2 linked regions of the Saccharomyces cerevisiae S288C genome follow. The protein of the gene in region 2 interacts with the protein of the main gene of each other region in a biochemical or structural test. Each region holds a gene or a part of one and is shown on either strand. Other genes may lie near its edges.

Region 1 (4,658 bases), on a different chromosome or scaffold from region 2:
ATACACTAATAGGAAGGGTACCAGACTTGCAGGACGGCTCAAAATGATTGTATTCGCTTTCGCTTATCCTTTATGTCCATATTTCATCACCAAACTATACAAGAAAATAATGAAGAACAACAAGGAAAGTAAAATTGAAGATACTGAAAGTGTTGCCGCGTTTTGTAAGGGCCTTTTAGATTTCATTTTAGACGTACACATGACCCTCTTTTATTTCAAAGGAGCTTTTTACAGTATTTCCAAAAGGATTTTTGGTATGAGATATGTTTTTAAACATATATTGTCAAAAAATGAGGCCAATTTTAGAGAAGAGGGCTCACAAAAGTACAAAGTATTAGGTTATATCCTATTAGCTCAAAATGTTATGAAATGGTACCCTGTCCTAACCTCTACGCTCGGGTCCTGGATTTATGGGAGAAAAAGGACCAATGATTCAATTACTAGGTCGTCTGTTGGTCTACAGGAGCGTTCAGAACATGAATCTATAGAAGGCATACCGAAGGAATCGCAGCTGACTCATATAAATTTGTCAGATAAAAACCAATTGCCATTTATTCCAGAAGCCTCGAGAAAATGCATCCTATGTCTCATGAACATGAGTGATCCTAGCTGCGCGCCATGTGGACATCTATTTTGTTGGAGTTGTCTTATGAGCTGGTGTAAAGAGAGGCCAGAATGCCCCTTGTGCAGACAACACTGTCAACCACAGGAAATTCTGGTCCTGCGGCAATAGAGGAACTAATCAATAATTTGACTACTCTTTTAGCATTGTCCACAGGCCTTTTTCAGAAATAACGCAGACGTCTGAGCAGGAGAAGTAAAACGCGAAGGGGAAATAATGCTTTTTAGTCTTGTAATTATATTAATTAATTAAATAAGTTTTTCTTTATCGGAATTTTATTTAAGACTTTCATTTCTCTAATGCTATTGTCAGTTACAGGTTAGAAATATATTTCCAACTATACACCAATGTGGAATAACAGCTGCTTTTGTTTGCCTTTCTTTTTATTTCCTCCACTAGTTGTGTTCAATTCCCTCAAATTATCGTGCACGTTAGTATCTTGTGTGCTTGACTTTTTACCCCACTGCTTAGGATCAGCAATTTGGGGTCTGTTCAGACCTGGAATTTGCACCTTTGGCTTTGGTGGAGGTAGTTGAGGTAGGTTGAGACTTTTCAATTTATCTTTGCTATTATTTAGAGAAGTAGAAGAGGAACCCTTTTTACTTTCCAAATAGGTTGGAGAGAAGGCGACTGTATTAGTGGAAGTTCGATAACTAACTGATTGAGGTGTAGTTCTTTTAATGTTTTGCACGGGTCTCAGAGTGTTTTTTTTTACGGTGGTTGCAAAGGGATCATACGACGCTGAAGGACTTTTCAGGGTTGGAAGATTTTTGATATTCCTAACGCCTAATGCTGCACCAGCGCTGCCCCCATCGTTTGTTCCACCCCAATGGCCCCTGCCTATTGACATTGAAAGGGAAGAATCACTAGATAAAGAAGGTAGTGAAGTTTGTCGTGCAAGGGTTTGCTCTCTTTGTTCATATATGGCGTTCAGATTATTGTATTTGGAGGAGTTTTTGGGAAAGGTTTCAGCTAAGTTATGAATCAATAAATATACATCCGCATTTGGTTTTGTGAATAACAATTTATATGATTCCAATAATTTTTCAGCACTTAAGCGACCTTTAGAATAATCTTCGTTATAAGAAGAAAACTTATTGAAGTCTTCTTTGGAATTTTCCAGATAGTATTTTGCTCTTTCTGCCAATCTTAGTCTACTTTCCTCGGGAGAACTAGCAGATCTCACATCAGTTCTAGAGCCGGATGATGAACCCGGTAGGGAAGATATAGATGGAAGGTCGTAATCATCTCTTTCCCTGATCACTCTAGATGGAGCCGAGATAAAAGTAGAAAGTTCTGACTGGAAAAACTTTGGCTTTCCCTTCAGGATATTACCATGCTCCTGCAAAATGTGGGCTTGTAACTCCAACTCGTCTTTAAATACGACAAACTTGTTATCTAAGCAAGTTTGGACGGTGCAAACGTAATGCGAATGTTTAAAGTGGTCAAAAAGCTGATTATAATCCTTAAAGTATTGAGGAGAAGCGGGGTTCATCTTATCACAAATATGGCACTTTTCATGCTGATTTCTCATGTGAATGTACAATTCGTCGTCTGAATAAAATCGTTTTCCGGAACAGAAGGCACACATAGGGTGGCCTTTGAATCCTTCTGAATTACCCTTAGTTTGATGGTTGCGTAATTGATTTTGGGTGAATATTTCAAGCTCACAAGGGAATGCATGCTTATGGGTTGCACATATTAAACAGATCATTCTGTTATGTTCAGATTTCAAGTGTTCATTATATTTCTTGAAACTACCAAAGTCACAAACTTGTTCATCCTTCGATAGGGGACAAAAAAATTTTAAAAGATTTAGTGTTTCGGTAGCAACCTCTTCGCTAGTGAAATTTATTCCATATTTTTCATTTTTTTCGCAAAAGTTATATTTATCTGAAATATCACCATCTATGCGATCGGTAAACATGACTTCTTCATTCTCCGTTCTGCAAATCAAACAGCTTTTCTTGTTGTACAAAGCTCGTTGTCTGAAACCACAGATATGGCATGTCTTATGATGGCATGGTGTTAGAGATACGTATGTTAACTTGCGCGCACAAATTACACATAATTCATTTTCTTCATCAGTATCATCTGCGCTTGAAGTGGTGAGGTTGGGTTCAGCAGAAAGGTTATTTTTCTTTTGCTTTCTTCTGAAATTCTTCCTGTCGTTGTGAGGTTTTGTATTATTTTGGGGCCCTTGAGTACGACGGAAGTTACGTGTCGGAGTAACGTTTTCTTTCACTGATTCGCTCATCCTAATTCTTGAAAAGAAGTATAGCCACTATTTTTTCGACGAAAGAGACTGTATCAAAATGCACTTTATGGATCTTTTTCAGCTAGGTATGCGCTCGACGATTTGTTGAATATGGCTGAGTGGGCAGTCGTTCAGATGCCCTTTTCAAAATCTTAAGAGAAAATCAGAAAATATAGCTATTATTAAGAGTGACCGCGAGTATGAAACTTTCAGTGTAACCTTTCTTTATTCGAGATAATGCTTAATTACAAGTCTTCCGAATATCTAATTTTTTTTTTTTTCATTTTTAAATTTCAGTTTTTACCGCATGCTTTTAATGCAGGGATATGTATAACGAGGTCACTCCGTCACACATGACAGAATTGCGTTATAGTGATACAAAGGTTTATGTAACTAGGTAGAAAAATCGTCATTAAGTTTATTTTTAGAATTCAGATCGATCACTGTGTTAATATGAGTTCCTGAATTGTACTCTTGCTTCTACATCTACGCTGCTTTTTCTAGAGACCAGAAATTTACGATCCCGTCGTCACCGCCTGTTGCAAGTATAGTTTTACCATTTAACTCCAACCACTTCACAACGTTGATTTCATAAACTCCATGACATAATGCACGTTTAGCAAAAACTTTCCATTCTCCGTCTACTTCTTCATAGACCGCTAGTACTCCATCCGCTCCTACACTAGCAATGAGGCCATTAAAGCCCCATGCAACATTGTATACCTGTCTTTTGTGTACATCCGGGAGAATAGCTTCACAAACCCATTCTTGTTGATCATCCTCGTCGTCACCCATGTATTTCCATACCCGTACAGTGGAATCGTCGCTTCCACTGCACAGTCTAAACACGCCCTCAGTCTTGTCAAAATCAGAAGACCAAACAGTTCCTTCATGGCCATTTAAGACAGCAACACATTCCCAGTCATCGTCATAGTCTTTCCATATCCTGACGGTGTCATCATAAGAACTTGAAGCCAGTAATGCTTCAGATGGATGCCATATAACATGTTTAACGTCTTGTGAATGTTCTTGCAAAACACTAATACACTCATATTCCTCGCCACTTTCATCTGTTTCCCATATCCACACGCTTTTATCTCTGGAACAGGTTGCTAGGTAATATCCATCATTCGACCACGCTACACCTTTTACTTCATTTTCGTGACCTTCGATAATAGCTAGCAGGTCCATCTCGAAAGTTCTGTCAGCAGATTCTTCCTTAGCCCAGATAGATACAGTGGAATCAAAAGAGCCAGCCGCTAACAGCGAAGTGTGAGGTCTCCACGCCACAGATCGAATCGCCTTTTTATGAGCAGTCTCATCTAGCACATCAATTAACGTAAAATCGTCATATTTCACGCTAACTAGCTTAATTTTTCGATCAGTTGAACCTGTTGCTAATATACCTTGAGAAAAGTCAAAAGACCATATCTTTTCCTTGTAAAGTTTCAAAGACTTAATCAGATTGATAGACGCCATTACCAAATAAGTAAACCAATTGAACTATTAAAATGTCGTGGTATAGCCCGATTTTGATTTGTGATATCTACAAATCTAGTATTTATTCGCAATTAATGAGGCAAAGACGATACAATATTCGATGTGAGATTTTTCAAAACACGGCCCGCTGAGAGCAGAAAGTTTTAGATGACCTATTTGAAGGCAATCACGATGGTATTTTTCAAGAAAATAAATAGTAGTAACACTGCTATGCACATCAGAGTCAGATTCCTTAAATTCAAACGTTTCTACAATTAGTATGACCTTTTCTTGAAGATC
Region 2 (3,426 bases):
GAAGATGAGAATGGTTTCGAAGAATTCTAAAGAACATCAGGAAATGAAGATAGAGACAGAATTATTAGATGCATTAGAGGAACATTTGTTTAACGGTAAAAAAATCCGGCATTTCAAAGATCATTGGAACCTGGATGAAGTCAAAATTTTGAATAAGCATAACTTTTTAACCTCCAAACCAACTTTGATATTGCTAAATGTTTCACCTCAAGATTACGTTAGGAATGAAAATAAATTTGTCAGAAATATTATAGAATGGATTAACGAATTTTCGCCAGGAGATAAATTCCTACTTTTCAGTGCAGAATTTGAATCGCAATTGATGGAATGTAAAGGCATAGCGTCAGAGTATTTTGACAAGATCAAGGAAGATACCAATGTTTCTGATCAACAGTTAGTTTCTGCGATACCGCAAATAATACTAGAAATGAGAAAGTTGTTGAACTTAATTAGCTTCTTTACATGCGGCCCACAAGAAGTTCACCAATGGAATATAAGGGAGGGAACCACCGCTCAAGAGGCCGCGGGTGTAATCCATAGCGACTTGCGTGAAACATTTATCAGCGCTGATGTAATAAAATATGACGATCTGAAGAAGATGGAACCACCGCTAAATGAGTCTTTACTAAAATCTAAGGGACTTATCAAACGTGCAGGCAAACAATATATTATGCAGGACAATGACATTGCCTTATTCAAAGCCGCCGGTGGGAAAATTAAGAAATAGTTTGTCATAAAAAATACTTGTAAATATGAATAGAAACGCTTGCTTTGTTTTGTCTTTTCCAATAATTACACAAGAATCAACAAAAGTATGAGATATATATATATATATATATATATATATTATATTTGCATAAGGTTTAACCACTGATAGTAAGACAGAGGTATATCGAGGAACTGTGTTTACCTAGAGTGGGCTGATTCTAATAGTGCAGCTATATGCGAAAATGAGAAAAAAGGAACCGCTGAATTCAATAATATATTTTGGTTAATGGACGAGAAAAAGAGGAATCTAATGGAAATTATTTCCAGTTAGAACCAGCTTAGTTGGAAGCAACAACAACTTCGACATCCACACCAGGTTCAATGGTGATTTGAGTGATTCTCTTAACGATTTGAACAGGAGCTTCCAAGTCGATGTATCTCTTGTGGATTCTCATTTCGTAGGTTTCCCAAGTCTTAGAACCTTCACCATTTGGAGTCTTTCTGGTGGAGATCTTCAAAACCTTGGTTGGTAGTCTGACTGGACCCTTCTTGACCAAGTTGTGTTGTTCAGCGTTCTTGACAATGTTGGAAGAGACGTTTTCCAATTGCTTAACCTTGGTGGAGGTCAAAGTGATTCTAATCTTGATGATTTGTTGTTGTTGTTGTTCTTGTTCTTCAACCTTTTCCTTTTGAAAGTCAGACATTTTGTATATACCTTTTTGTTTATTTTACTTGCTTTCTTGTAGGAGTTTCAATCTAAAGCTGAGCTTGAATGAAATAACCCATCTTTACTATTATTTTGAATTCAATACGGTCTATTACTCAATCTCTGAGGCTAGTCGCGAATGCGTCGAAGTTTTTTTTTCAAAATTAAAACATTATCGTTACCCGAACTTTATCTTCATAAAAATAGTTGTGGCATTTTTTCTCTTATGTTTACGGATGTAGAAAATGTACAGGTGTGAACTTGCAGGTAAACATTTTTACATTTTTACTTTTATCTTTTCCCCTTCTATAGAGATAAAAATAAGAAGTTTCAGGGAAATCTCTCTTTCCATAGTAAATAGTGTTAGCAGCAGACAAGACAAGAAGGATATCAATGACGATACGCATTTTTCCGAATGATCTGGTCAGATAATTCTTTTTTTCCCTTTATCGGGAGGTTTTGATGAGAAAACGATGTCAATAGTATTCTAGTCACAATAGGGAGCTAGACGGCTATTCAATCAGAATGCGACTATCCGGAGTTATCCTCAATGATAGACGTTTCTCCAGTTAGGAGCGCCAAGAATGTGTGAACAAAATGCACAAGGTGCAGATTTGGCGCTCTTTATCAGCGCTTCATACGGTAGATATGAACTTTAATTTTGAGATTAGCCAAGACCAAAGGTTCTCTTAAAGATGCAAAAGCAGTCATACAGGTATTTGTTTTATGCAGCAAGGCTGACTCAAACTAGGCATTCCAATTCTGTTTATCTATTGGTGCCGCACCTTTTTTCCGATGATGAAATGAGGCGGCGCACATTTGGGTGTTATCTTATCGGGATATTTTATGATAGCAAATGCGACAGACAATAATGCTCGAGAGTGGACAGGCCAATAGTCAGTTGCAGCATAGAAACAAGCAGGCGTACCTATGGGAAAGGTGTAACTCATCATTGCGCTTTCTACGGTACGGTTATCCTTAGATAACAGGCAAGATGTGCTCTATTCATCGGTGTTGCATGAAGATACGTCTTGTTCGCCAAGTATATAAAATGAAGCAGTAGTATAGCCGTAGCTTTACTATTGTTAGCAGTTTCCCTTGTCTAGATTCTTAAATTGGGTTCATCCAAGAAAAAGTAATAACATAAATTTGTCATTGTTATAGTATGGGAGAATTTAAACCTCCGCTACCTCAAGGCGCTGGGTACGCTATTGTATTGGGCCTAGGGGCCGTATTTGCAGGAATGATGGTTTTGACCACTTATTTACTGAAACGTTATCAAAAGGAAATCATCACAGCAGAAGAATTCACCACCGCCGGTAGATCTGTAAAAACCGGCTTAGTGGCTGCAGCCGTGGTTTCTAGTTGGATCTGGTGTTCTACATTGTTAACGTCGTCAACAAAGGAATATGCAGACGGTATATTTGGCGGTTATGCGTACGCTGCTGGCGCATGCTTCCAAATTATTGCATTCGCAATTTTGGCAATTAAAACCAAGCAAATGGCTCCCAATGCGCACACATATTTAGAATTAGTGAGAACAAGATATGGTAAGATCGGCCATGGTTGCTACTTGTTTTATGCCATCGCGACGAATATTTTAGTCACTTCAATGCTTTTAACTTCAGGTTCTGCTGTCTTTAGTGATTTAACCGGGATGAACACTATCGCATCATGTTTTTTACTGCCTGTGGGTGTTGTTGTTTATACTCTATTTGGTGGGATTAAAGCAACTTTCTTAACGGACTATATGCACACATGTGTCATTATCATCATTGTCCTCGTATTTGCCTTTAAAGTTTATGCGACTAGTGATGTTTTAGGCTCACCGGGAAAAGTTTATGACTTAGTTCGTGAAGCCGCCAAGAGGCATCCAGTAGACGGTAACTATCAGGGTGAATATATGACCATGACATCCAAATCCGCTGGTATTTTATTAATTATTAACCTGATTGGAAATTTCGGCACCGTTTTCCTTGATAATGGTTATTGGAATAAAGCGATTTCTGCTA

Evidence for each region. The genes of interacting proteins can lie anywhere in the genome.
Region 1: of the proteins of RPS20 (region 2) and HEL2, one has a biochemical effect on the other in vitro, tested with the Saccharomyces cerevisiae proteins (3 studies listed by BioGRID).

The regions. Positions count from the first base shown.
Region 1 is NC_001136.10:999,145-1,003,802, forward strand, and holds HEL2 (E3 ubiquitin-protein ligase HEL2), read right to left. Parts: upstream 2,880-4,658; coding exon 960-2,879; downstream 1-959. Other genes in the region: PEX10 (ubiquitin-protein ligase peroxin 10), read left to right, coding at 1-733; iron-sulfur cluster assembly protein CIA1, read right to left, coding at 3,366-4,358. UniProt on the Saccharomyces cerevisiae protein: E3 ubiquitin-protein ligase that plays a key role in the ribosome quality control (RQC), a pathway that takes place when a ribosome has stalled during translation, leading to degradation of nascent peptide chains.
Region 2 is NC_001140.6:73,398-76,823, reverse strand, and holds RPS20 (40S ribosomal protein uS10 RPS20), read right to left. Parts: upstream 1,413-3,426; coding exon 1,047-1,412; downstream 1-1,046. Other genes in the region: YLF2 (Ylf2p), read left to right, coding at 1-727; YHL015W-A (uncharacterized protein), read right to left, coding at 2,042-2,125; DUR3 (Dur3p), read left to right, coding at 2,580-3,426. UniProt on the Saccharomyces cerevisiae protein: Component of the ribosome, a large ribonucleoprotein complex responsible for the synthesis of proteins in the cell.